Kluyveromyces lactis: one gene and its partners. The protein of the gene in region 4 purifies or fractionates together with the protein of the main gene of each other region. This does not show direct contact. Links are inferred from orthologs where the notes say so. Each region holds a gene or a part of one and is shown on either strand. Other genes may lie near its edges.

What was found.
Region 1: the proteins of SLD5 (region 4) and POB3 purify together in Saccharomyces cerevisiae (affinity purification with western blotting; 6 studies listed by BioGRID, with this or other methods). This does not show direct contact. The link is inferred for Kluyveromyces lactis from reciprocal best matches to the Saccharomyces cerevisiae genes SLD5 and POB3.
Region 2: the proteins of SLD5 (region 4) and MRC1 purify together in Saccharomyces cerevisiae (affinity purification with western blotting; 3 studies listed by BioGRID, with this or other methods). This does not show direct contact. The link is inferred for Kluyveromyces lactis from reciprocal best matches to the Saccharomyces cerevisiae genes SLD5 and MRC1.
Region 3: the proteins of SLD5 (region 4) and POL1 purify together in Saccharomyces cerevisiae (affinity purification with western blotting; 9 studies listed by BioGRID). This does not show direct contact. The link is inferred for Kluyveromyces lactis from reciprocal best matches to the Saccharomyces cerevisiae genes SLD5 and POL1.
Region 5: the proteins of SLD5 (region 4) and SPT16 purify together in Saccharomyces cerevisiae (affinity purification with western blotting; 3 studies listed by BioGRID, with this or other methods). This does not show direct contact. The link is inferred for Kluyveromyces lactis from reciprocal best matches to the Saccharomyces cerevisiae genes SLD5 and SPT16.
Region 6: the proteins of SLD5 (region 4) and MCM10 purify together in Saccharomyces cerevisiae (affinity purification with mass spectrometry; 3 studies listed by BioGRID, with this or other methods). This does not show direct contact. The link is inferred for Kluyveromyces lactis from reciprocal best matches to the Saccharomyces cerevisiae genes SLD5 and MCM10.
Region 7: the proteins of SLD5 (region 4) and POL2 purify together in Saccharomyces cerevisiae (affinity purification with western blotting; 5 studies listed by BioGRID, with this or other methods). This does not show direct contact. The link is inferred for Kluyveromyces lactis from reciprocal best matches to the Saccharomyces cerevisiae genes SLD5 and POL2.

What each region holds. Positions count from the first base shown.
Region 1 is NC_006038.1:444,401-448,552, reverse strand, and holds POB3 (FACT complex subunit POB3), read right to left. Parts: upstream 2,422-4,152; coding exon 754-2,421; downstream 1-753. Other genes in the region: DAK1 (dihydroxyacetone kinase), read right to left, coding at 2,864-4,152. UniProt on the Saccharomyces cerevisiae protein: Component of the FACT complex, a general chromatin factor that acts to reorganize nucleosomes. The FACT complex is involved in multiple processes that require DNA as a template such as mRNA elongation, DNA replication and DNA repair.
Region 2 is NC_006039.1:35,011-39,767, forward strand, and holds MRC1 (chromatin-modulating protein MRC1), read right to left. Parts: upstream 3,165-4,757; coding exon 387-3,164; downstream 1-386. Other genes in the region: VAC17 (Vac17p), read left to right, coding at 1-320; ribosome biosynthesis protein KRR1, read right to left, coding at 3,574-4,566. UniProt on the Saccharomyces cerevisiae protein: Required for normal DNA replication. Phosphorylated in response to DNA replication stress. Phosphorylation allows it to mediate the activation of RAD53.
Region 3 is NC_006039.1:1,128,833-1,133,649, reverse strand, and holds the start of POL1 (DNA-directed DNA polymerase alpha catalytic subunit POL1), read right to left. Parts: upstream 3,322-4,817; coding exon 1-3,321. Other genes in the region: SNAP receptor VAM3, read left to right, coding at 3,842-4,630; MET4 (Met4p), read right to left, coding at 4,782-4,817. UniProt on the Saccharomyces cerevisiae protein: Catalytic component of DNA polymerase alpha, which in complex with DNA primase (DNA polymerase alpha:primase) constitutes a replicative polymerase. POL1 has a role in promoting telomere replication during interaction with CDC13.
Region 4 is NC_006042.1:1,023,564-1,026,841, forward strand, and holds SLD5 (DNA replication protein SLD5), read left to right. Parts: upstream 1-1,414; coding exon 1,415-2,293; downstream 2,294-3,278. Other genes in the region: PAC11 (dynein intermediate chain), read right to left, coding at 1-1,103; serine/threonine/tyrosine protein kinase RAD53, read right to left, coding at 2,566-3,278. UniProt on the Saccharomyces cerevisiae protein: Required for DNA replication. Functions as part of the GINS complex which plays an essential role in the initiation of DNA replication by binding to DNA replication origins and facilitating the assembly of the DNA replication machinery.
Region 5 is NC_006042.1:906,347-910,967, reverse strand, and holds the start of SPT16 (chromatin-remodeling protein SPT16), read right to left. Parts: upstream 2,991-4,621; coding exon 1-2,990. Other genes in the region: KLLA0_F09867g (uncharacterized protein), read left to right, coding at 3,218-4,327. UniProt on the Saccharomyces cerevisiae protein: Component of the FACT complex, a general chromatin factor that acts to reorganize nucleosomes. The FACT complex is involved in multiple processes that require DNA as a template such as mRNA elongation, DNA replication and DNA repair.
Region 6 is NC_006037.1:50,628-54,882, forward strand, and holds MCM10 (Mcm10p), read right to left. Parts: upstream 2,455-4,255; coding exon 2,367-2,454; intron 2,284-2,366; coding exon 638-2,283; downstream 1-637. Other genes in the region: KLLA0_A00550g (uncharacterized protein), read left to right, coding at 1-614; MLP2 (Mlp2p), read right to left, coding at 2,677-4,255. UniProt on the Saccharomyces cerevisiae protein: Required for DNA synthesis. Required for entry into or completion of S phase. Involved in DNA replication and seems to participate in the activation of the pre-replication complex (pre-RC) and in transcription elongation.
Region 7 is NC_006039.1:231,579-236,459, forward strand, and holds the end of POL2 (DNA polymerase epsilon catalytic subunit), read left to right. Parts: coding exon 1-4,253; downstream 4,254-4,881. Other genes in the region: ORC5 (origin recognition complex subunit 5), read left to right, coding at 4,464-4,881. UniProt on the Saccharomyces cerevisiae protein: Catalytic component of the DNA polymerase epsilon complex which participates in chromosomal DNA replication.

The DNA of each region.
Region 1 (4,152 bases), on a different chromosome or scaffold from region 4:
CGAGATCCCTGCTCACCTTTGATGTTCAGAGAAGTATCTCACTGGTTAGCATCATGACTGGTATAGATGTTTTCTTCGCTGGTCAAAGTCGAAAGAGCAGCATGTGACAACTATCAGGAATAATTTAAACCAATGGAATTTTGTCTTCAACACACGTTTTACCAAACTCGCTTGCCATGTATTTATCTATATTTGTCATGTCATCCTGAGTCATTCATGCTGAGTTCAAAGTCAATTCCGACCCTTCATTGTCGTTTAGCTATGAATCTTTTCTTATAGTGAAAAAGAAACTATTCCCGGACAATTCGTCAACTCCAGGAATCTCTATGATATATTCTATAGTTAAGGTACCGTCTGTAGCTATCATACTAATATCTAATATACCTCGAATGTATGAAGCGAGTTATCTTGGATCAAAATTTCTTTGTGCATTCATTTCATCATTCTAGTTCTTGATTTAAGGATCTTTCACCAGAAGTCATAGAATAACTCTTACAGAACCATTAAATGATTGAAGCATGAAAAAAGCAGTCGATACTTTTACGGGCTTAGCAAAATTATCCTTCTCTCAACCCTTTGAAGTTTAGTTCTCTGGATGGGACCCTTATTCTTTTGTCAAGCCATTTAGATGTACTAAAAATTAAAGAACTAGTCAATCAAACAAAAGAAAGACACATTATTCGACAAATACCGCGAGGAGTGTATATAGTTTTTTATTTATTTATTTGTACTAATACATGATATATGAGTTTTTCATTCCAACTTGGCTTTCTTGGAAGGTCTTTCAGACTTTGAGGTTTCACCTTCTGAATCGGAGGCGGATGCTTCTGAATCAAATTCTTCAGCGACATCGTCATCTTCGTCGGACGCATGGAAATCTTCATCTACAGATTCTTCATCCTCACCTGCAGAACCCATGTTAATATCTACATCATCATCATCGCTGTCTGAGCCGAAGGCAGTCTGCAGTCTCTGTTCTGCTTCCTTATCTTCGTTCTTTACCCTCAAGTTTTTGGACCTCAAGAATGTCTCTAGAAGTTGTTGTTCCTCTTTAGAAATATTAGCAAAAGTAGTAGTACCTCTATTGGCACGCATAACAACTTCCAAATCGAATGTTCTGGCTGATGTAGATGTCTGACCAGCTCTTGAAATATTGACCGCAGCAATATCTTGGAAGGGTATATATAGGGTTGGTTTCGTCAAGAACAAAAACGCATTGTCCAATGGGTATAAGTGGCCTTCATTGACTTTGTATGAACAGGATACCGCGCATTGGTCATACTTAGACTTGTATTCACCAGGAACAATGACTCTTCTTCCTGTCAAACCCTTTAAGACATGACTTAGTACAATGTGAGTTTTAGCATCGTATTGTTTCTTTAGTTTATCCTTGTAAAGCTTTTCGAACTCATCATCTTCCACATTTAGTTGGACTTCTGTTTCCTCGTCCTTCTGGAATTGTAACACCAAGAATGGGTAGGATGTCTGACCTTGACGGATTGGTGGATCAATCGATAAAACCATCAAGTAATGGATGTCGTCAGCTTTTGGCAAAGAGAAGATTCTGTTTATTTGACGATGTTGTAACTTGTACTCATAAGTCTTACCTCTAAGTCTGATAGAGTTTTTGTAGATATCAATGTCGTAACGGCCTCTTGGCGTAGTGAAGAACAGATCCTGGAAAGAAATGATGGCATCACCAGAAATTTCACCGATATCTGCCTTAGATCTCAATTCTTCGTAGAAATATTCTGCTAAAGTCTTCTCTTCTTGAACGTCTGGTTCTTCACTACCCTCTTCCGTCTTAACCTCCGACTTAACACCGTCTTCTGCTTCTGCTTCGTCCTTTACCATGATTTGATCTTGATCTTCATTTTCTTCAACTGTGCCTGGAACATATAACCTCATTTCAACAAGTTCATCACCTGCAGGATTATATGCCTCATTTTGGGTGTCAAATTCTAATGCAATCTCATTTTTTGCTGTTAAATTAGTGTTATTGATGTGCGTGTAAGGGATTTCAAAAGTTGGCTTACCGTTCAATGAAAAAACCATTTCGTTTCTAGCTAAGTCCAATTTACCCCAATTCCAACCACGTAAAGAATGTTCCCTGTGCTCTAATTGCATGTTGAATCTACGTTGGAAGTCATTCTTCAATAGGTTGAAATCCTCTTGTTGGAACCCATCCATTTGAATCAATCCCTTATTCTTAGTACTAATTTTCAATTCGTAGCCTCTACATCCTCTACTCCATTGAACGGAAGAAACCTCATCTGCAGCCAATAGCAAAGGTTCATTATTTTGAGTAGAGGCTGACCCACCTGTAGCGGATGCCTTCCAACCAAGACCTCCTTCAGCTAGACGGAAACGTCCACCGAGCTTGGATTGGTTGTAATAAATTCTATCGAAATCTGTACTCATTCTCCACTATCCCAATATAAGAAATAAAAAGTAGGTATCCAAGACGAAGATCACTAGATTTCAGTAATACTGACCTGTCTAACGTAAACTATGGGCTAACAACTCTGCCTACCGTTAACGGTTTCATATGTCTTCTTATTTGTTCATGTTTTAACAACATCTTAAACACTTTGGCGATTTTTCATTTTCATTTCTAGTAAAGTTTCCAATTCGCGTCACGTTGACAAGAGGTAAGATGGGGGAGTGAACGGAAAAGAGACAGTTTTTACACACGAAGAACTATCAGGTCGAGGCCCACCCCCCTGTTGCCGGAGGAACAATGTATGATACTGCAATTACCGCTAGGTCATAAATTTGGTTAATGTAGGAAGCTGTATATAGTTTGTTATAAAATAATAACTAGGTGGAAAGAATAAAGGAGGCAGCTCATTTGAAAATGAATCTACAATTTGGAATCAACACCCCTGAGGAATTCGACCAAACCGATAGCTCCTGGGTCCGGAATTGCTTCAGTGTCTTCCACGTAAGATGCACGGCCGAACTTGGCTTCTAAGTTTCCTGTAGATTCTGCACCTCCTTCCGCCTTGGAAAAGGCCTTATGGAAGTCCTGAGTTGAACTAAACTCTTTCACGAATGGCTCCAAGGCATCGATCATAGTAGAATCACCTGGCCTAGCTCTAGTATATTTACACAATGTCTCGTATGCAACTTCTAGCGATTTGGCGAAGGCTTCTTTGTCCACCGCATCATTTTCTCCGCATTGTTCAATAATTCCTTTTGAAAGGCCCGAAATGAATATAGAGTACAAACCACCGGATGTACCACCCATTGCGGATTCAATATGATCAGAAATTTCTGCAAGGGTCTGAGACAAATACTTGGAGGATATTTTATCCAAGTTTTCAGTGATTGCCTTAGCGCCAGCTACTAACGTATAACCACAGTCACCGTCACCAACTTGGTTATCCAAATGTGTAATATGAGGTTCACTTTTAATCAATTGATCGGCACCTGCCTTCAACAGCTCCGATAATTTCTCGAAGTCGTATGTTCCAGCCTTTTTAACGTCAATAACATCCTCGAGAATACCCTCGTCATATGTAGGAGATTTACCCATTTCGACATCTTTTATTGGCCATGCTGGCGCCTCTGTATGGTCGTTTAATAAGTCAAGCACAGATTTTACTTCGCTGAACTCCTTCTTGATAGCTCCAGATGACTTTGACGCATTGAACAACGTGATACTGAATCCATTTCCATTGAAAGATGTCATTAAAGTTCCGCAAATACTTTGAACTGGAGTAATGTCATAATTCTTTTGTAAAAAAGATTTCGTGATATCAACGATGGCAGTTAAGATGAAGTTAGACACACCACCTAAATTGTTGACAAGGAGAACTACCTCGTCTTTTTTATCAAAAGATACAAAATGTCTGTCTTCATCCTCTGAATCAAGTAACTTGGGTAGCATATATTTCTCAATCAACTGCTCCAAAGGTGGAATGCTGTCCAAGACTTGAACACCTGGTTCATTATGGATACCCATACCGACTTCCATTTGCTTTTCATTTAATTCCGTCTCAAATGGTCTTCCTGGTACCTTACAATGATCTAATGATGAGCCAATCGTAACTAGATTTTCATTGATGACTTGAGCTACCTTGCTGACACCATCGAGACCATACTTGCCTGAATACTTCTCAGCAAATGCACCGACAATTTTATGAACCA
Region 2 (4,757 bases), on a different chromosome or scaffold from region 4:
CTCCACCATCTAAGAAGTATAGAGGATGGTTCAGTTCGTCCAACTCAACCCCATTTGCATCCTCTATTTTTCAAAAGTGGTTTAATTCGGACTCTCTAGTAACGAAAGAAATTGGAAATCCTGATAATTCGTCTCCATCGAGTGGACGACCCATTGTGGAAAATCGACAACGGCATTCAAGCTCTAACAGTTACTCTACATCGATAGTAATAGGACCGAATGGCGCAAAGTTCATCCGTGGGCTAAATGACCCATTAGTAACTTGTACTGTTTCATATAATGAACTTCAAGAGGCATTGAACACTGAATTTAACTTCTGATATAATGATTATACAAATGTAATTTTAAGAGATTTTATAATGAAATTGACATATTAGTTGGATGGGTCAGGTGAAACTATCGGAATTGGAGTCAAACAAGCTAGATGTTGGTTTGCGTACCAACGGTGTGGATTTTCGGCCTTGGGGTGCCTTCAATTTTCTCTTTTTACCCAAGAAAGTGATGGCAGATCGAGAACCAGAGGCTACTCTATAAGATTTAGATATAGTAACAGTTTTGATCCCCGTTTTGAACTTGTCATTAACATCTGAGTTTGACGAAAAAGACTTTACGATGCTGGGCAATTTGAAGTCCAGAGATGTACCATCCACATCATCAAAGAAGGCGGAGTTTCTATTCCTTTGAGGGGAATCGAGAGATTTAATATTGCTTCGCTGTTTCAAAGATTCCAAATCCTCAGTTGCATCATGTGCTGCTTCAGTGACCTCAAATTCATTGATATCATCATCTTTTGCACTTAAAAACGATAATGAACTCTGAACAAACTCTTCTGATATGACAATTTTCTTCTTTCCCATCTCATCTCGAGTATTGCTGAATGATGTGACAGCAGGGATTGACTTTCTAGTTATATCTTCCACCATACTATCGAAAAAGGCTTTTGATTTTGAGTTATTGACTACACCGTCCACATTTTCTAGTAGCTTTTGTTTCATTATTTCTCTTCTTTTTTCCCTAAACTGTCGTAGTAACTCATCCTCATCATCGCTTAACTCAAGATCTAGTGCTCCTCGGCCACGTTTACGAAAGCCTCCGGTATTGATATCATGTAAGATTTTATTTATCATCCTTTCGTCCATTTCTTTGTTCTCTAAGGCTAACCTTTCTCTTATTGAAGCGGTATCAAACTTGCTTTTGGAAAAATCATCTATCATGGTATCCAAATCTGAGTCATAGTCATCTGAATTCTCTCCGTCAGCACCACCAACACCATGCCATTCATCCTCAGATTCTTCTGCTTCCATTTCCAATATTTTGTTGAGACCAGTTGATTTAAGTACTTGCTTCCGCTTTTTTGCTGCCTCTATTTCCATTCTTCGGCGCATTTTAGCCCTTTCTTGAAGCCTATTCCTTTCTACTTCGTCGAGCTCGTCCTCTGAGGAATCAGAGTCTACTGAGGAATCGGAACTTAACTCTCCCACCAATAATTTCGCTGAATGTGATCTGTTCATCTTCAGTTCTGAATTTGAAGGCACATTTCTGTCACTTTGATCAGCACCATCATTTTCCGTTACATTTGAGGAAGTTAAATTATCGCCATAATGCCCTAAATTGATGCCAATCGGCTCCTGGGTGACTTCATTATCATCACTTGACGAAGAACTCTCGTCATCATCTATTATAGGATTGTTGTTTTTATGGGCTGCCGATGTATCCGCGCTATCTTCGTCTGAACCAGTGGACCCGTGTAGCCCTAAATGCTGCTCGACATCACTATCTGATAAGCTTAAATCACTCTCCATCACATCGCTATCAGGGACATCGGATGCGCTACCAGAAGATGCAGCTTTACTCGTATCTTTTGATTTCTCTCTTTCTCTTTTTTCTCTTAGTTTAACTCTCCTATTCCTTTCAAGCTCTTGCTCTAGAAGCTTTTCAACTTGAATCTTTTCATCTTCAATCGCTTCAAGTGATATTCCTTTTTTACCGGATATTTCTCTTCTAAATTCAAGTATCTGGTCTCTGTTCTTTGTTTTCAAAGATGTAAACAATTCCTTCAAAGAGTCAACTGTAGAAACATGCATGTTCTTTGCTTTAGTAGCCTTATTCCTGGATCTCTTAGCTTTAATCAGCAATAATGCTGCCTTGGACGATTGTGATTTATAGTCATCTTCAGATTCGGACGAAGAGTTCAGTTCAATAACATTTTGTGGACTATTTTTCATAGTAATGGCAATAATCCCATTCATATTAGTAACAACACTCTTCTGTTTCGTGACTAACTCTTGAGTAGATGCCATATCTTTCAATTCATCAGCATCATTTTCCTCATCTGAAAGATCTTCTGCGTTGGATGACTCCGAATCATCAAAAGCTGCAATGAACTGTTCAGGGAGGTATTTCTTTCGGACAGCCTTTAATGGTGCTACAGGTAAATGTGGTTCTTCTATAGTATCTTTTATAAGAGGCACGGCTTTCTCCTTTTCAGCAACATCAAGTTGAGTAGCGACCACTTTTTGCTCATTCTCTATTTGAGTTCCATTTGGTTTAGTTGCCAGTAGTCCTTCATTGTTGTTTGTTGTCAACTTAAATGTAAACGAAGTATTTCGAAAGGAAGTTTCTTTACTGTGCAGCAATTTACTTTCGGTTGCAGCTTTATCAAGAGTGTGTTCATCTGGTGTAGTCTGTGTAATTTCCTCATTGTTCAATTGTGTGTCTAAATCTTGCTGTTGTCTATCAATGGTTCTGTTGGTGCCCTCCAGTGCCTGAGTATTTACTTGAGTCTTTGCCAGCCAAGATGAAGAGAATGTAGGAATTAATTGTGTCTGAGATATTGGATGTTTTTTCTGTTGGATTTCCACTTCACGCTGCTTTGGTACTGCAGCAGTTTCACGCATTGCCTCAAACTCATCGTCCAACTCTTTACCTTCATACAAATCGGTATCACTGTAGAAGAATGTGCTTTTTTTACTGTTATCAATTGCCGAAGCAGTGCTATCATCTGAATCTCCATTTAGTCTCTTTTTGACTCTTTCAAGCAGATTCTCTGCTAGAAACTTGTGCTCTCCCACGTTCAGCTCTTCATCTTCTGCATCGTTCGCTTTAGAATATGTTTTGCCTTTCTTTTTATGAATGCCAACGTTCAAATCATCTAGTAGGTCCATTCTGCACTTGATAATGTGCCGAAGTGTTTGCAAGGTGTTGAATTCCTTTAATAAAACGGTTATAATAATGCCTTACCTGGTAACATTATCGTGCTTATAAGATTGGGCTGCGAGCCTTAAATATTTACGCGTTTTCTCATTTTTCTTTTCAAAAAACCTTCTTGATCGTACGTACTATATTTTTGTCACACCGCAGGTTTTGACATAAGGAAAAGCAAGAACGTTGCTGGCATGAATGATAGTTAGTGAAAAGCGTATACGTGGTCCATAAATATAATCGTAAAGTGTCTACTGGGACGATTTTTGAACAAAGCAACTGGTTGAAACTTAACTTAAAACTATATTTCTTAATTTGAGTCATGAGAAAAGGATGGAAACGCGATTATATAATAAAATACTTACTAGCGCTTTAATCGGTACGCTGTCTTTTCCTGTCTCCTAAAGAGCTCTTTGTAGATTTTGAAATTGAGCTTTTGTAGTCGGTTTCTTTTGGTGCAATAAAATCCTTGGCTCTCTCGCTTTCCTTTTCAGCGTGTTTAGCGGCTTGTTGTTCCCTGCGCTCATGTAACTTTTTGACTTCCTTCTCCCTCTTGCTCAAGAAATACTCACCGGACTCAATCTCCAAATCAACCTTTCTAGGTAATTGTGCAGGTGGGAATGGTGTGTATATTTTCTTCTCCTTGATCTTCTTTGGTTTCTTTCTTGCAACATTTCTCTTCTTGAACATAGGTAAAAATCTAGACCAGTCTTCCTCGGCTAACTCAGGCTTCTTAGCAAGTTCTCTCTTTATCATGAGTTCTTTGATATGGTAAATAGGATGTACGTTTTTCATACAATCTTCGACGACACGGCGTACTTCCTTTAATCCTTTATATGGTCCCATTACTGAGACAGTATTACCTTGGACAAGAATATAACATTTTGTTAGAAGCTCCAAGGCTTTCAAAGTGTTACCATTAGGACCCACTAGTCTCTGCCTTCTTTTCACGAACCTTTCTTTATTAGAAACAAAGTTACCAATCTTTATAACATCACAGGCAACATCGTCTTCTAGGATTTTCACTGCTTGTGGGAATGGCACAGATCTGGCCAAAAGTTTAATCAAATCACGAGCCTTCAAGATTACTGCTGGATCATACGTTTTTCTTGTAGTCTTTACAGTCATAGAACCTTCAACTAAATTCAATTCGCATGCAATATGATGTGCATCGAGAGACCTCGTAACGTCTTTCCAAACTGATTTCAAGTACGCTTCTCTGTACTTTGGAAATAGAGTCATAAAACTGGATTCTTCAGCAAAAGGAAGGCCAGACTTGTTGTCCTCGGGTTTAAACTCCTCGATATTCCATTTGTCAACCTCGTCCGTATCCCAAGGCTTGTCTTTATTATGAGTAGAGACCATCTTTCAACTCACGACTAAATCAATATCTACCTCTTTTTCCGATACTTGTGAGTTCGCAAAATTGTCTGTTGGCCTTTAGTACGCTTCAAGCTAAACTAGGGTTTTATAAGCGGATACTGAAGACAATGTGGTGCAGTGAGGCCATGTCATCTCATCTCATCTCATCTCATCGCATCACTTATAATTCATTC
Region 3 (4,817 bases), on a different chromosome or scaffold from region 4:
TGGCATATTCTTACCCCCAGGATATGACTTAGGATCCTTAGAAAGCCTGGTATTAATTTTGTATTTGTCCATTCTAATCTCGTTGTTCTCTACTTTTTGACGTATTTCTTCCATATATGCGTATATCTCCTGTAAAGCACTCTCCGAGTCCTTATCAGAAAGAAGAATATTTAACACTCGAGTTGAGACTTCCTTTGACAATGGACAGAATTCACGACGTTTCATATCTAAACCCTTAACTTCAAGAGTAGTTTTCTCATTGTTTTGCTTGTCAAAAGTAACATTCAATGCAGCATACTTTTTCTTAGCATGCAACAGTAACCTTTTGAAGATGTTATCAATGTCTATTTCAAGCAAACTGTATCTTTCATTCACCAGCTTTTTAAAGTTTTCACCAATTTTGATTGCATCCATGTAATTGTCACAGCCAGTACTGATCATGACCGAATCGGTATCACCGTACACAACTGTTAGACCCAGACTCTCCGCTAATTGTCTTGTGTTCATGAGAATTTCTCTCCCCTTATTTGTAACTAACATTGCTAACGGTTTAGCATAAAATCTACTGTTCACATAACCCAAACAACCATACATAGAATTTGCCGTAAGCTTCAAAGCTTGCTGCCTGATATCATATTGGGCTTTTTTACTTGCGTCATTTTCAGTCTTCATTAGATTTTTCACTTCTCTACGTCTTTGGACCAGGTTGGCCAATAATCTTGGCAGTACACCTCGTGATTTTTCTCTTGAAGGCACATCTGGAAGTTCTTCATTATCCTGTGGATTCCTGTCAACAGTAGTGAAGCAAATATTAAACTCTTGAATGATAGATGGGTACAACGAATTGAAATCCATGACCAAGATATAGTTTTTATGCAAACCTTTTTCTGGTTCAAAGACCAACCCACCCTGATATTTTGATTTTTTACTGGACACTTGTGGCTCCATAGGATCTTCATTCTTTTGTTGTCTGTCTTGCTTCATTTGCCTTGTTTCTTTATCAGGAACAATGTAATCATTTCTGTTAAATTCATGAAGCAAAATATATTCATTTCTACCAGCTCTTGTACCACCCAAAGTCTGTCTCCATCCATTGCCTGCTAAATTAGTCAGTTGTTTGGTTAAAGAGAGAATTTGAATGCGGAATGCAACTTCTGCTGTTATAATGGAGTTTTCGATGTTTTCGCCTAGCGCTAGAAGCATCTGGGATTCATCTTCCTGATATATTGGGTTTAGGTAATTAATTTCGAGAGATTTTCTTTCAATACCGCAGGAAACTTGATACATTTCGTTTAGTTCCCAATTTTGACATTTTGGAGTTAGTGACTGACCCATTTCATTGGAAATGTCACATAACAACCTACCTGCAAATAAATCCCTAACTATGAACTGTGTCATACTATTATTATGTTTTCCAAACTTGTCTGGCCATGCTTTCCGCAGTCTTCTCCCAAAGACACTAAATTGAGGAATATTTAACTCATAAGCTCTGTGTGCCAGAACATCCAAGATGACACCTTCCAATCTATGTCCTATTATAACATCAGGATCATTTACCTTCAAGAGAGCACAGAAACAGTTTAATAACGTCTTTTCGTTATTGAAGAGACGCACATTTCCGGATAATTCTTTCTTTGATTTAGGTCCCAGAAGAGGTGGAAAAGTTGATCCTTGTGGAGGCCTTACTAGTGTCACTATTTCATTTGGTTTGAGATTTTGTGGAATTGATGAATCTTGAGATAAATTTTTGAAGACAGCCATACTTATAGCAACAATTTCCTGCTTGTTTTCTTTTGCATTCATGACGGTCTGAATAGACAATGATATACAGTTCAAGCTCGGAGATGATTTTTCATTCGTTGCTGAGATATGATTAGGTGAATCAATTTGAACCTCAATAGCACAATGCGAAGCGCCTTGAACTGCATCAAAATCGCCATCTGATATCTTAAGCCAGCAAGGGCCCATGATTTTCCTTTGGACAACAAAACTCTCAAAAAGGTTTTGGTTACCACCGAAGACGTGACTGAATGTATCTCCCTCAAGTTCAGCGGGAATAGTAATTGACTTGCATTTAGGAGTATCATAAGGTAACAAAACCTTCAAATACTCCGCTTCGTGTGGTATTCCTGGAAGTTCAAAGGCATACTTTTTCGTTTCAGGCTTAGCGCGAAGTGATTGTAAGCCATATTTATCCAATAATAGAGGTACAATTTCTTGGTGGACATCAGACGCTGTTTTACCCTCCTTAGGTAGAAAATACAGCTCTCTATTGAAACCATTGATTTGCGCCATTGCAGAGACTACTTGATTCTTTCTCGTTTTAACTTTACCAAAGAGAATCAAAGAAGAGTTGACTTCGGTAAAATCAGTCCAAAAAAAGTTAAAACTACCGGTCTCAGCGTCTACTACATCCTCTTTAGGTATTCTTTGTCTCAGTGATCCGGAAATTGATTCTGTTGCTTGTGTGGACCCTGTAGAAGTTGACAATGGGGTGTTAGGAGCAGTGACATATGTTGGCGAAGACGTTAATGGTGCTGTTTGAGCGCTGATATTCATCTGCCTTTGAGTAGCTATTGATTTGAATTTTTTTCTACCAAAGTGAATATCATCTTCGTCATCTTCACTGTCATCTTCGCTTTGATATGTCTTCTGCTTGCTCATTGAAGGAGAACTAGCCACATCGTTTAATAATGATTCAATATCGTGGTCCTCTTCCATTGAATCACAATCGATAGGATTAACGCTATCAGCTTTAAAAGGTACAACATCTTTACCTTTAAGTGGGGATGTATCTACCTGAGGGTGTTTATAGTTCATAGGCGTAGTATTTGCAGGTTGTTTTCTGGATATCGTTAGCTTCGGCTTCTTAACCAGAGGCTCTGCGTCAAATTCACTCAAAATATCATCAAATTCAGCAAGTGACACTTTCTTAGGTTTTTCTGTTGGCATTGTCATTTTTCTCTTGACATTTTGTTGCTTTATGATATCGCTGATGGTATCCTTACCTTTGTTATTCTTACTGGTCTTATTACGCTTTTTGCCTGACTTTGCATCAACACCATCGTCTTCATCAGAGTAGAACTCCTGACTTTGATCCCATTCATCTACACCACGATCCACATATCCACTGCCATCATCATCTTCAACAAAATCATCTCTTAACAACTCTTGTCTTTTCTTACTCCTATATTGATCCTCGTCAATCAAGTCATACACATTTTCTTCTTCCAGTTGTTCATCTAGCACATCCCTATTCGATTTATTATTCCTAGCTTTCTGCAATTTTTTGAGCAGTTCAAGTTTGTTCGCATTACTCATCCCGAGCTAGTGTTTTAATAGTGTAGGGTGGCAGTACGAACTACCCTAGTAATTTAGTTTTGTTGTCTTTCCTGGTTTGAGTTGCAAGAAGAAGATGATGAAGATGTTCTTACTTTTACGCGTTCTTTTTTTTTTTAAAGTTGTATCTATCTGCAAAGCACGCGTTCGAAATCTATGAACTTAATGGCACCAACGCTGAGACAAAGCGAGAGTGCATGAGAAGAAAAGCGAGCGAAAGATTGAGTGACAGTAGAATACCGACAACACTTGAGTGGTTAAACGGTGAAGCCGCTGAAGTGTTAGAGAGTGTGCGCTCCTCAATATTATGATACGAATTTCCATTAGTTGAACCAATTGGCGTTGGCTTGGAAAGAAAAATGGATCACATGACCTGTGGTTTAAGACTGTCCTCAATTTTAAAGTGCTCAAATTGAGGTTTGTGATCATTAACTGAAGGGAAGGATAACTGTTAAGGAAACAGCTGATAGCAGGACCCGTAAAGATAATCGCGTTACATCTGATGTCCTTTTATCAAAATAGTACTCCAAAAAAGGAGGACAATCGTGCAGATTCTAGTGGAAACGATGCGGTGCCTTTGTTGATAACACTAGAACAGAATATTCAATTACTCAAGCGTAAAGCTCATCTAATAGGGACAAGCAAGGACGGACAACTATTGAGGGTTGATATAAAAAATAGAGTAATCCCCGAAATCCAGAAAATTAGTCGAAAACTGGCTGACTTAACTTCGCTAGATACACAAGATAAATTTGCTCGAGATTTTCAAGCGTTAAGCAAACAATATAACAGTGTAAAGACCGATTATGAGAATAGGGCAGTACAGAATCCCATACCTGACGAAGAGAGTAAAGATAATGAATCGGAACATCTCGTATCGCAATATGAAAGCATGCCAATACAAGACGATATCGAGAGGAGGGATCATTCTTCAGAGGATACTCCGTTACTTTTGTCTACCCAACAGCAAGAGCCTTTGTTGAATCAGGATGAGTTAGATTTTCACACGATAATTCAACATGAAAGATCCCAGGACATATCAAAAATCCACTCTGCTGTGCAAGAGGTCAATGCCATCTTCAAACAACTAGGAAGTCTGGTACAGGAACAGGGCGAACAAGTTGACACAATTGGCGAAAATGTGACAGGATTATCTAATAATTTGCAAAAGGCGAACAAAGAACTTCACAAAGCAAATGAATATCAAAGGAAAAAGAACAGATGTGGTACAATACTTCTAGTAGCTATTGTTGTTATCACTCTAATAACTCTTATCGCGATTCTATCATAGGGTTAGATTCTACGAGGAATGTAACTATATATTAATACAAAATTTATCTCTGGCCTTATACTTGGATGAAAGTTACGTTACGTTTTAGAGAACACGCATCATCAGGTAAATATGTCCGACTTAGAGGTTACAACTAATTATTAATCATAGCTTACTTGTCAGTATCCTTTTTAGTGCTTTCGGAGGA
Region 4 (3,278 bases):
ATTATCAATAGGTGTTGGTAATACTTGTTATCTTTTTTAGTCTGTTCAGTAGAATATGATAAGTCCGTCCTTGGGATAGGAATAATTTTGACATCGTCATCCTCTTTTAATGATAAATCTAAGGTTGATATCAGCTTAAGTTGGCCATTGGTGCTGGCCGCCAGGATGCTATGGTCATTGAATTTTGGAATTATAATTGAAAGTACCGGATAGTGATGATAATTAGTGGAAACAATATTTCTTTCCACCTGAAAGCTATTATTTATTTTGACTGTTCGCAGTTCATATAAGATGAGTTTTCCTGTATAGCAAGAAAGAACGACGGAGGTAATCTTAGAATTAGGATTATCAATAAACTTGCTCCGTACAACATTCTGACCTTGGAATAAAACTGTATCAAGTACCTCACCAGAAGAGACGTGTGTGATTTGAACTAAAGAGCTTTTCACGTATTTGGTTACAAGATGAATCACAGTAACCAGTAAATTATCTAAGACGTCACTGGAAATGACCCTTGCTTCAGAAGTTGAATCAATGGCAACTTTTGGTGAAATTGATAAATACATGCTTATTTTCCCATCACCAGCGATTTGATGAGAAGATGACTTGAGCGCAGCCGCTTCTATAGTCTCCTGTAGTGAAAATGTTTCTTTCTTCAACGTTGCGTAGTCTTCCGCTGAAACGACATTTCCGAAATCAAACACATCCTTTTCAACAACTTCTTTATCCTCCTTGGTCTCTGTAATATCTGAAGTCGATGCTTGCTGTTCTATAAGATCTTGGGAAGGTAGATGTCCATCTTCCATAATTTCATGTTTCCCGTCATATTCATCTGTCTGTATTCCGATATCATATGTTATCACAGCCTCCTTAACAGCGCTCAATTCAAACTCATTTACATCATCTGTTTGCACTGAGATCTCAACAGTTTTTACTTCTTTCTTGACTTCAGATTCGTTGTTATTTATGGAATTGGTGATATGGGAAATGAACGGAAGGGTACAATCTGCTATCTCTTCATGTTTCGAATCAATTTTTTTCCTTTGCAGCTGAAGAGCCTCTATTTTCTGCTTCATCAACTGTAAGCGCTCATTCTTGTCCATATTTCTGGGTATATTCCCCCTGAGGTTGGTGTTGCTGATGAGCGCTTCTTCACTGACGCGTTTTATCTTGCTTCATGTATGGATTTGTTAAGCGTAAACAAAAGATGATAAATAAGATTTGAGTATTATCAAAAATACGATGTTACAGTAAGTTGGATGAATTTCACAATAGGTTGGAGGATAACACATTGCAAGTAAGTCCTTCTTGTCTGAATACACCTTTACAGCAATTATAAAAGCCACCCCGGTGTACTATCCGAACACTTCCTCCGCTTTGAGTCCTGGTGGTAGGATCATATTTCTTTAGTACAATGAGCATTGATATTGACGACATTCTAGCTGAGCTGGATAGGGACACTACAGCTGTTGAACAAAATGCTTCTTCATACCCAGACCAAAGCGATCGAACTCAAGGCAATGATGTCTCTCAGATAAGACCAGCAGATAAGGCGGTTGACCCTGTGGCTCCCACACAGTTTAACAAAATTGACGACTATCAAAAGCTAATTACACATTGGAAGAATGAACGTATGAGTCCGGAGCTGCTTCCATATCCACATCATCTCATGACTAGGACATTAATAAGGATTCAAGAAAGAATTGAACTAATAGAAACACTATCAATGGGATACTTAGAAGATAATCAAGAGTTAACTGTCGATTCAAAGCTACCACTTTTATGCATGGAAGCAGAACTTGAGAGATTGAAGTTCCTAGTTCGATCTTTCATCAGATGCCGGTTAAGCAAAATTGACAAATACAGCATTTACCTAAGACAACAATCCGAACTACCCAATAATGCGGGCCTCAGCAGACTAGATTTATTGATGTCCAAAGAAGAGGTGAAGTACCATATGAAGCATTCTGACATATTACTAAAACTGTTTAACAACGCAGTACTTAAGCACTTACCAGAAGAACTGCAAGCCGTTAACGATACTGAGGGTTCCATCAGTATGATTGATGAACCCGATTGGAATAAAACTGTATTTATACTAGTTTGTGGTGGGGTAGTTGACGAAAGTGGTATTGATTCGAAATTAACGACCGATGATGATGGAAAACACTGTTACTCAGTGATTATTGAAGATTTAAATGAAGAAATTTACTTATTAATCGGGGCAGTATACGTAATACGTTATAGTGTAATACGAGATCTCATGACTGAGGGACGAGTAGTTTTAATATAATGAAAATTCTGAACAGTATTACTGAACCTATGACTCTTCGAAAAATATAGGTTTGTAACGAATGTTTGCCAGCAATAATTTCTCAACAATGTTATTGCGAACACAGCATGTTTTCTACCTAGTGTTATTGACTGCTGGTCTATAGTGCTTTTGAACCAATTTGTATTAGTATTACATCAATTAACGTTGAAAAGTCTATCTAGCATACTCAAAGTGTACCTATTTTTCATATTTACTGTATGCAAAACCCATCCGGCAAGCATATGATCAGCTCAGAGAAATCCTTCAATATCTGGTTTCTGGGCTTGGGCAAGCTTAGCCCTTTTGGTTGTCTGCGGTTGAGATTGAGATAACGACACTGAATGTATTCTTTTCAATCCTGTAGTCGAGTTCATCTCAACGACAGAATCTAATTCCTCGATATTTTGCGAGTTGGCATCTATGTTACTGGAAGAGGACTGGTTTATATTAGATTTGGCATGTTGTGATGATCTAGACTTCATAAATTCCATAAACTTAGGGACTAAAGCTAACTCCTCCTGTGTCTGTTTATGTAGAAGTGTCTTGTTTGTTTTCTCATTGGTATCCAGCTTCCCCTCGTGGAACAAACCAGTGGTATCATTGAACTCAAGCTGGAAAGAAACAGTGACATCATTGATTTTATCCCATATAATTTGGATTTCATCGCCATCATGAAGTAAGATCTTTGTGCCCGGAGTGATTTTCTTTCCATTAACATAGCTTGAGTTAGTACCACTTTGGCAATACCATACATCATCAAGACCTTGAGCTGGAGATTCATAAATACTGTCACCGACAGCGTGTCTTTTCTTCAATATGAAGCAATGTATCCTAGATAAACGATTATCATCAATTTTACAGTTGCATTCGTCTGACCTACCGATGAAGAATGGATTTATCCCTTGTTTTACTTGGACCTTACCTGAAATAGATGAGCCAGGTAAGGAATGCAAAGTGAGAAATA
Region 5 (4,621 bases), about 120 kb from region 4:
TCACTGAATTTTTCGTCATCCGAATAATCCTCTTCTTCTTCAGAGTACACTTCCTCATCAGATGGATCCTCATCAGATGCCTCGTATTCTGAAATTTCTTCCTCGCTCTCATCAGATCTTTCATCATCGGATCCAGTTGCCAAGAACGACCACCCACCATCCAAAAAGAATTGATGAGGATCATCTTGTAGCGACTTCATGATTGTCGACCAGTTCAAGTTAATTGTAGAAACAGTATATGGAATATCAACATCTGTTAACCATGTCTTAATGAATTCAAGTTGCTCAATTGGTACAGTGTTTATATGAGAAACAGGCTTTGTCAAATCTTTATAAACAAAGACCATGTCAAAGTTCTTCAATCCAAATTGAACTCTTTCAAGTATACAAATCTCAACTTCGTTCAAATTTATGACTAAAAATGGCGGTTCAACTAATTGAATTAAGCAGTCTCTCGTTGGCATACAGAACACGGCTGATCTAGAAGGAACACCTTGGAAACCAAGATCTCTAAATGGAGAATCTACATCTAGGAGACCATCGGATGCCTCTGCTATAGCTTCAGCAAAATATCTAAATTCTTTATCAAGGGCAGCACGTTTTCTTCTTTCTTCTTGTTCTTGTTCTAATTCATCTTCATCACCATATCTTCTAAATTTCATGTTGTTGCGTCTGCTGTTTCCTGTCTCATCGACAGCCATATCAGATGCTTCTCTGTAAAATTGAATATCTTGGATCTTCTTTTTACCCATTAAAATAGGATTCTTTAGATGAACATGAATGATCACAATAAGTTCTCCCTTTGATGATTGGAAGAATAGATTCTTGATGTTTGAGAATAGGATATCAATTCTTGAATCTGTCCTCAATGGAGACTGGTATCTGATACCATTTTCATGAATGAACACCGTACCTGGCACACGCTTGGTATCGGGACTAGGCCTGACAAAGATTTGGTCCAAACGTTTAGTCCTACCAGTTTTGTTCTCCACCAATTTAGCCTGGACAACAACATCAGCCAAAGCTTTTCTTTCCTGTTCACGTTTGGTAGATTCCTTCTTAAGATCAGTAATTTGTTTGAAAACATCGCTCATGCGAGCACCATCCTTAGATCTTAAAGTTAGAGAACGAACAAATTGATTCTCTGGGTTCTCTTCATACGGCAACTCCTCAGTTTTCTTACCGACACCTCCAGCACCAGGAGAATGGAAATTCAATCTGAGATAAGTGTATTCACCTTCTTCATTTTTAGAACCGTTTTTGTATGAATTGATATGAAAAGGTACAGGTCTACCATAGATTGGTAGAATGATTGTCTGACTCTTCCAGTCGACATGAATCTTCAAATCACGTACATTGGATGGTATTTGAGTTTCCCTAACGTAAGATTCGTACTTTTTGAAGAAATGCTTTGGCTTCTCATCGCCATCTACTGCATCTGCATCACTGTATCTGAGTAAACCTTCCTTCTGTAATCTTTCATGAAGTTTTCTTTGGTTCTCTTTGCGGATTTGTTCTTTCTCTTCATCGTCAGCACGACTTTCTCCACGTAGCTTAGATCTCAAAATCTTCGATGTACCATCAGGTTTTGGTAAAGCAGGAGGCTTGCTTTTTTCAGATTTAACAGTTGCAGCTTTGTTCTCTTCTTCGTTGTTGAAGTAAAACGAGATTTGGGATCTAGCCTTTGTGTACTTGGTCAAAGTGGATGGCTTTCCATCAGAAGAAAGTTGAACGGTATCTGCTAATTGAACAGCATATACCTGACCAGTTTTACTATCCTTTAAATTCCCAAATCCGAGTGAAATATTGTAACAGCAATTCTCTGAAATTTTATGAGCGGTTGGTTTAGCATTGATCATACCAGCAGAGTCTCTAAATTCCAACCCCATCAAAGAACCAACATTTTTAGTAAAGTGAGATAATAATTCCGGTTTCTTTTCTTTGATGAATTCCAGTGTCTTTTCATAAATAGATGTTGGATCAGCTTCTACTTTTAATAAATCATCGATGATCTTCTCTTGCAAAATCAATAAAAAGTCATAATTGTCAGTCATTTCATCTGTCGGGTCAATCAAAAAAGTTCTGGTGATATTGGAACAGTAATTCTTGTATCTGATACCGCATGAGGCTAGGATGGAACCCTTTCCGAAAAGTGAGTCGTTGTTAGAACGAGCAGAAACCTTAAGGTCGAACTTAGAACCTGATTGCACAATTGGAGAATAGGCCCAATCAAGGAAATTAACGTCGAATTTCTCGTCGGTAGGACACAAAGGATTTAGATCACTTGAAAGTTTCTTCAAAAACTTGGAATCATCTATCTTGTTTTCAATTTTATCTGACAACTTAGAATTTGATATTTTTAGTTCTTCGTCAACAGCATTGACGATTTCATTTGACATAAGATCCATGAATTTGTCAGATCCCTTACTGGATACAGAAAGGTAAGCCTTTTCCTTATCATCTTTGCCCTTCCAAGTAGAAGACAAACCAGCAGAGCAATCGATTACGTTTAAAGAATGCGTCTTTTTAGCTTCTTCCCAAAGCGGTTTCCATTCAAGAATGAGCTTACCTTGATATGAATCCTTCGTTGGGACACCGACAGTATTACCGTTTTCTGATAACAGCTTGATGAGGTCCTCAAACAATTTCTTATTGTGATTTGCATCCTTGTTATTTCTTTGCCAGATCTCAAGTTTGTAATCTGATCCTTCAAACTTAGTAACAGCGGGCAAAAGATGTTTCGCCTTAGCACTGCTGGTTATGATGACACCTTTATCCTTGAAAAAGGCAATCAATGTAGCTGGAAACTCATACCCTAGCAACCAATTATGCAAAATGGTGGTCTTTTGATAAGGGTTTTCCTCATTAGTCGAACCAAGTACAAAGAGAAGACTATTTGGAGAACCTTCAAATCCAGAATATGCCTTCCCTAATTTTGTAAACCTATCATAAAAGGCTTGGAAATCAATTTCAATTCCTCCGTCACTCATTGTTACTTGAGATTAGCACAATGGGGTCCTCAATATCTAACCAAAAAAGACAACTGCCACGCCTAATAGAACAATGAGTTTGAAATACCGAGCCACGAAATGCTTTGCAGGTTATTTCAATAAAAGTACCAAAGAGTCCCTTTGCTTTAATTTCCTGCCAGCTCTTAAACAATGGGTATAGTTTGCAAAAATTATTAATGTTACTCTTCAATTTAAAACTATAATATATGCATTATTGGCGTCGCGTTTTTTTTTTACTAAATTTTGAAAAATTCAGGTTAAAGGGAGAATATATCACTGTAAACGGATTTGATTCTCTTCACGTGACTGGAGATCAATTCCATACTAAGATGCTTCCAATGTATTTTGAACCGAGGATGACTATAATAGAAGTTAACAGTGGAAAGTGCACGTTTACTTTTCATTATTGGGTGTATATCAACATCAAAGCCTATAATCACATCGGGGTGGTTCACTGGTTTATTTGTACCAAAATAATGAGTGGGAACAACTTAAGTTCTGCTAACCATCTGGATAGCGAGAAACTAACAGAATTATTGAGGAAGAAGTATCCTTTTTTGGTGATGTATGATGGGAAGAACGATGTAATAGATCTTGGAAAGTTTTATTTAGGATTTGCACATTTTATGTCGCGAGAAATTACTTTTGCGGAGCAAATCAGCAGCGAATTTATATTCGCCTTCATGCGAATAGACTCAGAAAGAAGACGTCTTGAGCATGATGACGAATTGTTTTCCAAGGCATCCGATGATCTTTTGGCTACAAGAAGAAATATAAACAGATGGGCTAAAGAGTTAGAAGTGCAAATACTTCCTATTGTACTCTCTGCATACCAAATTCTTGCAGGTGATTTAACTGAGGGAGTAGAGAAGATAAAGGAAGCACTTAGGGATGAAACTTTGGATGGATTAGCCATAAGACTCAATATCCTTTCAGCGTATGCTATCGATATTATTAACGAAGTGATAACTATTTATCCGGAAATGTACAACCTGTCGGTATCTAATAAGAGAAGTCTTGGGGATTACTCTCTACACCTCACATTAGCAAGTCTTCTTTTGCAGTCTCTTCATCTATTTGCCGACCTTTGTGAACGCCATCCGAATTTATACCAACGATCGTTGCAACCTTTCACTTATGAACAATTCCAGATAGAATTGCAGGAAAAGTCGGAAGCAGTTACCAAGATCAACGAGGAATACGAGGAACTTATTAAAAGCATTACGACCATAACATTTAACAATGTAATAAATTACATGAAAGACAAGAAGACAAAACTACGAGACACTTCTAAAGAATACCTTTCTAAAGAATAGATATGAAGTAAGAAATTTCGACGGAATTTGTTATATGCATTGCATCTCATCACGAATAAATAAATTATAGCATAGAATCATTCTGCATTTCCACATGGAAACCCAATAATTAACTCCTCTAAATAATGAATACTTCCCTAGAGAAAGCTACTAGCAGTTTTATAAATATGAGAAAGATTTCTAATGCTCATCAACCACTGATCCAGGTCTCTACCTAAAACTGGAACAGGGTCTATTCACTGTCACTATCATATAGCAACTAACATATAATACAGGAGTTAACAACGAATCACG
Region 6 (4,255 bases), on a different chromosome or scaffold from region 4:
AGTTGTCCTGCAACGATTTCCCGTTGTATAGGGCAACTTTTGACAACGGTTATGTCCTTAAATTCTTCATAATTTTGTCACTGGGATTTCATGCAAATTTACTTCATCTCTGCGAAGAAGATGAGTACCAGAAAATGGGCATTGAAAGGTTTAGAGTTGCTAGCCAGCGAATTTTAAGAGAATACAAGCTCGAATCTCGCGTCTCTATTCCCGATATTCTGGAAGGATCTTTTAGTTATTTTGCGTTAATAAATACCACAAATCTGGAGCCAACTTATATGCCATCTCCCGATTCTGATCCATTGGAATCACAACTACATGTATTGGCATACCAGTCTTCTCTGGATAGAGTAGAATTCCAGAAAAGGGTATTTATGGGTTATTCAAATACGAAGCATTCAAACATCTTACAGAATGGAACGTTTTACAGACCACTGCCATTTTGTTTTAACGTCGAAGTACTAGACGATCCGTCACAAAAGAGCAACTTTGAAGTTTGCTGTGATGGGCAACTTCTTAACTTACTAGAGTTAGAGGGAAAGAATACTCCACCATCCACGATAAGAATTGAGACTTGTACGGAGCCATCATTAAAAGTACTACATTCTTTATAATATATTAAACCTTACATTATTGTCTATATAATTTCCAAATCATCACTTGAGCCTTCATCTTTATCGAGCCGCTCTTGGCTGCCTTTCATTATTTCATTGAAGATAGCGTTTCTCTTTTCAATTTTCTCTTTCAATTGTTTCTTCGAAGGTTTCAGGCTAACATTATCTTTCTTTATATTGCAAATATCCGTTATCGCCAGCTGTTTATCATTCTTTGGCGCCTTATTCTCTGTAGAATATTCAAGCATCTCTAAAGACGCTTTCCCTTTTGTTGGGTCATAACCAATTTGGTTCGCTAAACCATGTTGGAACATGCTCAACGTCGCAGTCTTTTTTGCTTCTTGATTGACTCGGTCTTCCTTCTTTGACAACAATTTGTCGGATAGACCCTTTAACTTTTTCTCCAAGTTTCGATTGTTTCTGAGTTCTTGAATTTTGCGTCTTTTGTTATCAAGGTTGGCCAGTATGTCAGGATTTTCGTAGTCGTCATCGAAAAACGCGGTAGAGGCATTTGCAGAACTGAAGAGGAATCTGTTGGTCTCTGCAGCTGCCGGTTCTCGTACAAACGGTTTATCAGGATTTTGTTGATATCTTATGGATGTTTTACCATTATTGTGTTGTGATTTTACAATAGTCTGTTGATATCCTTTGACAACTGGCGCTCTCATTGCCACAGAGCTACTAATTTCAACTCTTCTAGAACTGTTTTGCCTCATTTTTGCCTCTTTATGATATGCACAGTAGTTATCATGCAATTTGTTTATTGGCGCACCACATAGCTTGCCTTTGTTCTTCATGTAAAATTGGCACAATCCGAATTCCTTACTGTGACCTAGTTCCAGTATATTATTGGTGTCTTTACTAACTTTTAACGAAAATGTAGCGTAACTAGGGCTTGCTCCCGCTTCCAGTTTCTTGGAAGGCATTATTTCAGGGTTAAGTATAGCAATCAAATCACCTAATCTTAGTTTGTAATACTTTTCAACTATACTTTTCCCAAAGAAAATAACATTCAGTTCAAATTGGAAATCACTTATGGTTAGGCTGAAGAATTTCACCGGTTTCACAGAATTTGTCATTCTTGGTTCAGTTTTCTTTGAGATGATACCCAATACCAACCAATTGGGATAATCAGGTTCAGAGAACTTAGGGGCTCTCACCTTACTGAAGAGCTTTGGAAGTCGAAGCACTTTTATGTTTTTAGTATGTTTCCTAAGTACGGCCAACGGTACATACCTTCTGTCTATAACCAGACCACTCAAATCATCTTTTTCATCAACAGTAATTGGTTCATATTCATCGAACATGTCGCCATTGAATGTGTAAACTCGATGTGCCAATAATTCTTTCTTCCTTTTAATCGCTTCATGTTCATTTGTATTGATGGAGCGAAGTTTTTCAGTAAAGTAAGAAGTGGTACCCAACTTTTTGACCTTTTCCCTTACATAATCCTCATTAACATTAAATGTAGCTTCCTCTATATCTGCTACTGGCGCAATATGTTTGATATCCTCTATTCCTTTTGTAGCATTATCTGATTTCTTAGGAGACTCTGGAACGTCGATAGAATCGAAATTAGGGTCTTTGAGGTTTCTCTTCTTCTCTAGTTCCAACAGCCGGTTAGTTAAATCTCGTTTCTCAGTGTCAATTTCAACAATTCTTCGTTTCACTTTGATTTAATGATTGGTTATAATATGTTAGTAGGATATTCTAATGTCATTGATCTCGGTAACCATTATTATTAGAACATACCTCTTTCGATTTCAGATTCATCATCAGATAATTCCTCGTACGGGTCGAACGCCGTAATTTCTCTCGGGTCAGTTAGATCATATGACATGATGCATCTTCACTGTTACCTATACTCGATAGCTTCTGTAACTATTCTCGTTCATTCTTTACTTGTGGGATGTCATTATTTTGTTTTCTCGTTTGAATATCTGTGGAAAGTAATACTAGTATTTTTTACATGTTGAAAACGAATGGTCAAATAATGATACATAATAGAAAAAAATTAAATAGAACTTCGGTAATATTAACAGCCATAAAATCGTCTGGAGAATCAGGCTTCCTGACCATCCTCAGTATCACTTTCAGGCTCTTTGTGACGTTTCTCAGGCTGTTCTGTTGCGGTGTCGTCTATGGGTCTCTTATTAGGAGAAATTTCTGACGTTGAGAAGGGACTAGTGAATGTTGAATGAGAGCCAAATACAGGGGCCTGGAATGCTGCACTCATATTAGAAGTGTCATTCTCTACAGGTTTAATTGTGGACTTTTGTTGTTCTAAATTCCTGATCTTGCTTTCCAAAAATTTCAATTTCAAGGAAACTTGCTGTTTCCCTTCTTCGAAAGATTTTTGTTTTATTTCTGCCAAATCTGCTTCAAATTGCTTACGCATGGAATCCTTAAGTGCATTCAATTCTGCACGATGCTTTTCTAGAGTAATGGCATCATTTCCGATCTCTCCTGCCAATTTTTGGGCCTTTTCGTTTACCTTTTCTTCAAAGGACTCTTCTAAAACAGCTTTTCTTGCCTCAACTATTTTATCAATCTTTTGTTGAGTAGGTAACCTGATCCGTTTCTTGAGGGCTTCTTCTGCTAATTTAATTTTTTCCAGAGTCTGCTTCTCATATTCTTTTTCCCATTCATTCTTCAAAGCATCGATGTCTATATCCAAGGTAGGCTGCGAAGGAGACTGGACAGTAGTCTTTTCGCACTCTTCACGAATTCTCTTTTCTCTTTCTTCAAACTGTTTCCGGAGCTCTTCCTCTCTGGAATTCCAAGCAGATTCTTTTTCTGCCTCAAACTTGCTCCTCAATTCTTTTTCTTTATCTTTTATTAATTGTTCTTTTTCAGCTTCAAATTCTGTTTTCAAATTATCCACTATTGACTTCGTGTCTTCGTTGATAACTGGCGTATGATGTTCAGCTACTATTTTTTGAGCGTTGGAGGCTTCGGCTTCAAGCTCCTGTATTTTACTATTTAACATTTCCACAGTCTCAGTCAACGATTTTATTTTTTCATCTGAATCTGCATTATTCTGTTCGGTCTTGGAAGCATTTTCCATTTGAACCTGAATAGAATGTAGATCTTCCTGCAATTTAGATAATTGAGAGTTAAAAGTCTGTTCCTTTGTTTCTGCTTCTTGCGTTACCACTTGTAATCTTTCTTCTAACTCTTTGCAAGCGGTCTTACATTTTCCTAAATCGGCCTCCACTTGAGATTTAGCTTCATTGATTTGGTTTATTTCTGATGATAAAGATTGTTCCTTTTCCTTGGAGGCATTCAATCTATCACGTGCTTGAAGCCTAATTCTTTGGAACTTCGATTCCCAGTCATCTTTCTCGGCAATGACGCTTTGCAAAGTATCCTTGGTAGTTTGCAGTTCATTTTTAACATCGTTAATTTCCTCCTTTAGTTTACCATGTTCTTCAGGATCAATACGTTCATATTTATGTAAGATATCTTGAGAACGGCTTTTCCACCGTTCTGCTTCTTCTTTCGATTGAATGAGTTCCTGTTCTTTAATTTTGATACCATTTTGCAAAGAGGAAATGGACGACTGTAGTGGCGCCAGCCTATCATTACATTCTTGCAATTGCGACTTTAGATTGTCACATTCTTTCTTGAATGAACTATTT
Region 7 (4,881 bases), on a different chromosome or scaffold from region 4:
AAGGAAAACTATCTAAAATCAAACCAGATGACGTACATTCGAAGGATGAGGCTAAAAAAATGATTGTCCTGTATGATTCTCTTCAATTAGCGCACAAAGTCATTCTTAACTCATTTTACGGCTATGTGATGAGAAAGGGTTCGCGATGGTACTCGATGGAAATGGCTGGTATTACATGTTTGACAGGTGCAAACATTATTCAAATGGCCAGATCCGTGGTTGAAAGAATTGGAAGACCGTTAGAATTAGACACCGATGGTATTTGGTGTATCCTTCCTAAGAGTTTTCCGGAAAATTTTGAAATCAAGCTGCGCAACGGCAAGAAACTATTTCTTTCGTATCCTTGTTCGATGCTTAACTATAAAGTTCATCAAAAATACACTAATCATCAATATCAAGACCTCGTCGACCCTATGAAGTTCAAATACCAAACAAAAAGTGATAATTCCATTTTCTTTGAAGTCGATGGACCATATAAAGCAATGATACTGCCAACTTCCAAAGAAGAAGGTAAAGGTATCAAGAAGAGATATGCTGTGTTCAACGAAGATGGTTCATTGGCTGAACTAAAAGGTTTCGAACTAAAAAGAAGAGGTGAACTACAATTAATCAAAAATTTCCAGAGTGATATTTTCAAGTTATTCCTGGAAGGAACAACCTTAGAGTCATGTTACGCTGCAGTAGCAACAGTTGCTAATAGATGGCTTGATGTATTAGATTCTAAGGGTGCAATGCTCGAAACTGAAGATCTTATTGAACTGATTTGTGAGAATAAAAGTATGTCAAAAACATTAAAGGAGTATCAGGGACAAAAGTCAACTTCCATTACCACCGCAAGAAGGCTCGGTGAATTTTTGGGGGAAGCAATGGTTAAAGACGCAGGCTTACAGTGTAAGTTTATTATCAGTTCCAAACCACATAATGCACCGGTGACAGAAAGGGCTATTCCTGTTGCTATATTTTCTTCCGATCTTCATGTTAAGCGCACATTTTTAAGGAGATGGTTATTGGACTCAAGTCTCAATGACTTTGATCCAAGGGCTATTATCGATTGGGACTATTATAGAGAAAGATTGGCTTCTGTTGTTCAAAAAATTATCACAATACCGGCAGCATTACAAAACATTAAAAACCCTGTACCCCGTGTTGAACATCCTGATTGGTTAAGAAAGAAAATTGCTGTTAGTGAAGATAAATTCAAACAGACTTCCTTGAATCGTTTCTTCAAATCTACCAAAGCTCCACCTGAAGTCAAAGATATAGAAGACTCTTTTGATGAACATTCCGCGAATAAATCACGTATCGCTAAGGTCACGTACAAGAGAAAGAGCAAAAGACGTAATGGGGATACAGCACTAGAAGAAGAGTCTTTGCTGCTACCCTCTGAAATGCCTCCGATGTTAGATGATTATGTGGGCTGGTTACAATATCAAAAAACCAAATGGAAGATCCAGCATATTGATCGAAAGAAAAGAGAAAAGCTATTTGGTAAAACTTCACGAGCATCTGATCGGTCTGCTTTGGGCAATTTGATAAGAAAGCACGTTGAATCATATGCAGATAAAAGCTGGGAAATTTTACAATGTAAACCGTCCATCGATTTAGGTGTCGTAGAAATTTATGCTTTAATCGATAGGAAAATCCAATTGCTGAAAGTAAACATTCCCAAAACTGTACTCATGAACTTCAAGACGGAGAATTTCCCCTCGGGAGGGATTGAAAACTGTATCGTCGAAAAGTCCAACGCGGAACTGCCTAACGTGAAAGGCATCAACAATGAAAGCAGTAGTCAATTGTTTAAACTGACAATGTCAGAAGATACCTATTTCAACGAAGTTAATAAAGCATCAAGCGTATTGAACAACGAGAATGTTTTGGGAATATACGAGAGCTCAATTTCTTCGAATGAAAGAGTCATAATGCGGCTAGGGACGTGTATTCAATTCAGCTCTGAAAAAATGGGTGCGCTAGGAAAAGGTTTACAGAACGGTTTTCATATGAAGAATTTACATCCTGTTGAAGCAGATAGATATCTCCAAAGGTTTGACCTTGATATTGCCTACCTTCTACATTTTGTAACAGATATCGGCTATGAATTCTATTTCTTGTATAAAGCATGGGAAGATGTGGTAGAAATATTTGTGCTGAAACCAAGCACTCATGCTCAAGAAGTTTCTAATAAAGCTATAGAATCTCTTTACAACGAGATATACGAGAAAAAGTTCGAAAAGCTCGATAAATACTATGACTTAATCAAGATAAACAAGAACGTTTCGTTTAACGTGAATGATTATACTGAACTAAAGCGTTTACTGAAGGACCTTTCAAAGATGCTGCAAAATATTAAGGAAGAAAAAGGATCTCACACAATGGTGATTCTACAATCTCCATATACCCATAGAGTTGCTAAATTGTTGCAGCCTTTGAATGCCTTCCCTGTTGTTGAAATAGCTACTGCTGAAACACATTTGCCAGCTTTGAACTGGCAGGGACAATTAATGAGGAAAGCGGTCAATCACATATTGTCTCTTGGTTCTTGGATCTCAAATTTGATTACTCTCTCAAAATACAGCAACATTCCAATATGTAACCTCAAAGTCGATAATCTCGGATACATTATCGATTTGATGTACGCTCGCCAGTTGAAAAAGAACAACATCGTTCTATGGTGGAATGATAAATCGCCGTTGCCTGACCACGGTGGCGTTGAAAGAGATTTTGACCCACGGAAAGCGGAGCTCATGACTGATTTGGTGTTCCCTATTATGAATAACCCTGATATCTATGATGACGTTATCTTCGAAATTAGTGTCTATAACTCTGTTGTGAACACTGTTTTGAGCAGCACCATGTTGAACGAGGCTGAAGGTACAGACCTTGCCCAAAATTCGACATCTAAGGAAGAATCCTTCGGTTTTGTTGAAGATTCTTTCTCTTCTTCGGCCTTGTCAGTGCTTCGCGCACTGTTGAAAGAGCTTTGGGATGATGCCTTAGGTGATAATATCACGGCTGACTCATTAGTACACGCATTTATAGGATGGGTGTATAACCCTGACGCGAAATTATTCGATTATGCTTTGAGATATCACATCCATACTCTCACTCAAAAGGCCGTGTTACAGTTGATCAATGAATTTAAGCTGGCAGGATCATCTCTCATCTTCGCAGACAGAAACAAACTGTTAATCAAAACTCAGAAGCGTTCCGTTGAGAATTCTTACGCCTATGGGCAGTATCTCATGAAAGCGATCAGATCTAAACCAATGTTTGCCTATCTAGACTTGAAAATTGATAGATATTGGGATGTCCTGATTTGGATGGATAAGTATAATTATGGTGGTAGAGCATGTCTACAGATTGAAGATAAAGAAGTTCAGAGTTTCCAGGCTTATTCTCATTGGCATATAAAGGATTTCTTACCTGCAATTTATCAGCAAGAGTTTGATGATTGGTTAGTAGTCATACTGGATAGTATGGTTAAGACAAAGGAAGCCTATCATGAGCGAAATGCATCCACACAAAGATTAACCCAATTACCAAAGAATACACTGGCTGATAGTGACGTAGATAGTCAAACTGACTCTCTAGGCGGTTTTACCCATAATTTTTCAAAAGCTCTCATCAAAAGAGCAGAGAAACTTTACAAGAACCAACAGGAATATATTCTTGATCCTAACTTCGGCAAGGATTATCTATCTCCCACAATTCCTGGGTCGCATCTAGTTGTGAAAAATCCGCTTCTTGAGTTGGTCAAATACTTATCACATATTTTATCACTTTCCAGTAATCATTTATTAGAAGGAAGGGCGCTAAGGAAAGAACTCCTAAAGACATTTGAAATACGCGAATTCGACAGATTAGCTGAATTCAAGGATCCAAGTACATCTTTTGTGATCCCTAGCTTCATATGTGAGCATTGTTCTTATATATCAGATATTGATATTTGCAGAGAAAGTATGGAACGAGTCTTCATATGCCAGAGCTGCAACAGATCCTTGAATAAAAATCTCATTGAAGAGCATGTGATCGAACGACTTCAAGCCCAAGTTGCATCGTTTATTACCCAAGATGTTAAGTGCAATAAATGTCATAAGATCAAAGAGGATGCAATGTCACCTTATTGTCCATGTTCAGGAAAATGGGAACTTGCCGTATCTAAGGAATCTTTCATGGCACAGTTACAAATTTTCAAGAACTTGGCGGAAAGCTTTGACTTTAGAACATTGAAAGAAACTTTGAATGATTTCTTATAGGTTCAAGTCCCTGGCATCTGTTGTATTATCTTTTAGTCTGCTGATGTGTTTACATTTAACATTTATGAGTGTTTATGTGTTAAAATAGATCTGAAAATAAAAAATATATATACACATAAAGGAAATTGTTCTGAACTTAGCATGGTTGAATTCTTCCCACCTGAATGAAGACGCACTATGTGTTATTTACTGCGAATCAAGTGACCCAGAATGGTACGACCTGATGTTAGATATAGAGAAGAACAACTAGATTTTTTGGAAGCGTTTGTCGATGCCGATCCAAAACTGAGCCCGCCAATCTTGTTCATAGAAGGGCCGCATGGAAGTGGTAAGACACATACCCTCAAGAAGTTTTTTGCTTGCAATGAAGAAATCATGAACATTTTACTACCAGCGAAAGATCTGATATATAGCAAATCCACCTGTCAGCGGTTGGCTACATGTCTGCGTCAATTGCTACTGAAACAATTTCCTAGTGTGGAAACCACTGATCTTGATCCATTTGAAGCCGAGGACGTATATCTTTTGCAGAAATTTATCAATAAATTGTTTATCCGATTTAATCACTTGGTAGAACGCGTTAACCTTTATGTTATACTCGATGGGCTGGATGATAATTCACAGGTGA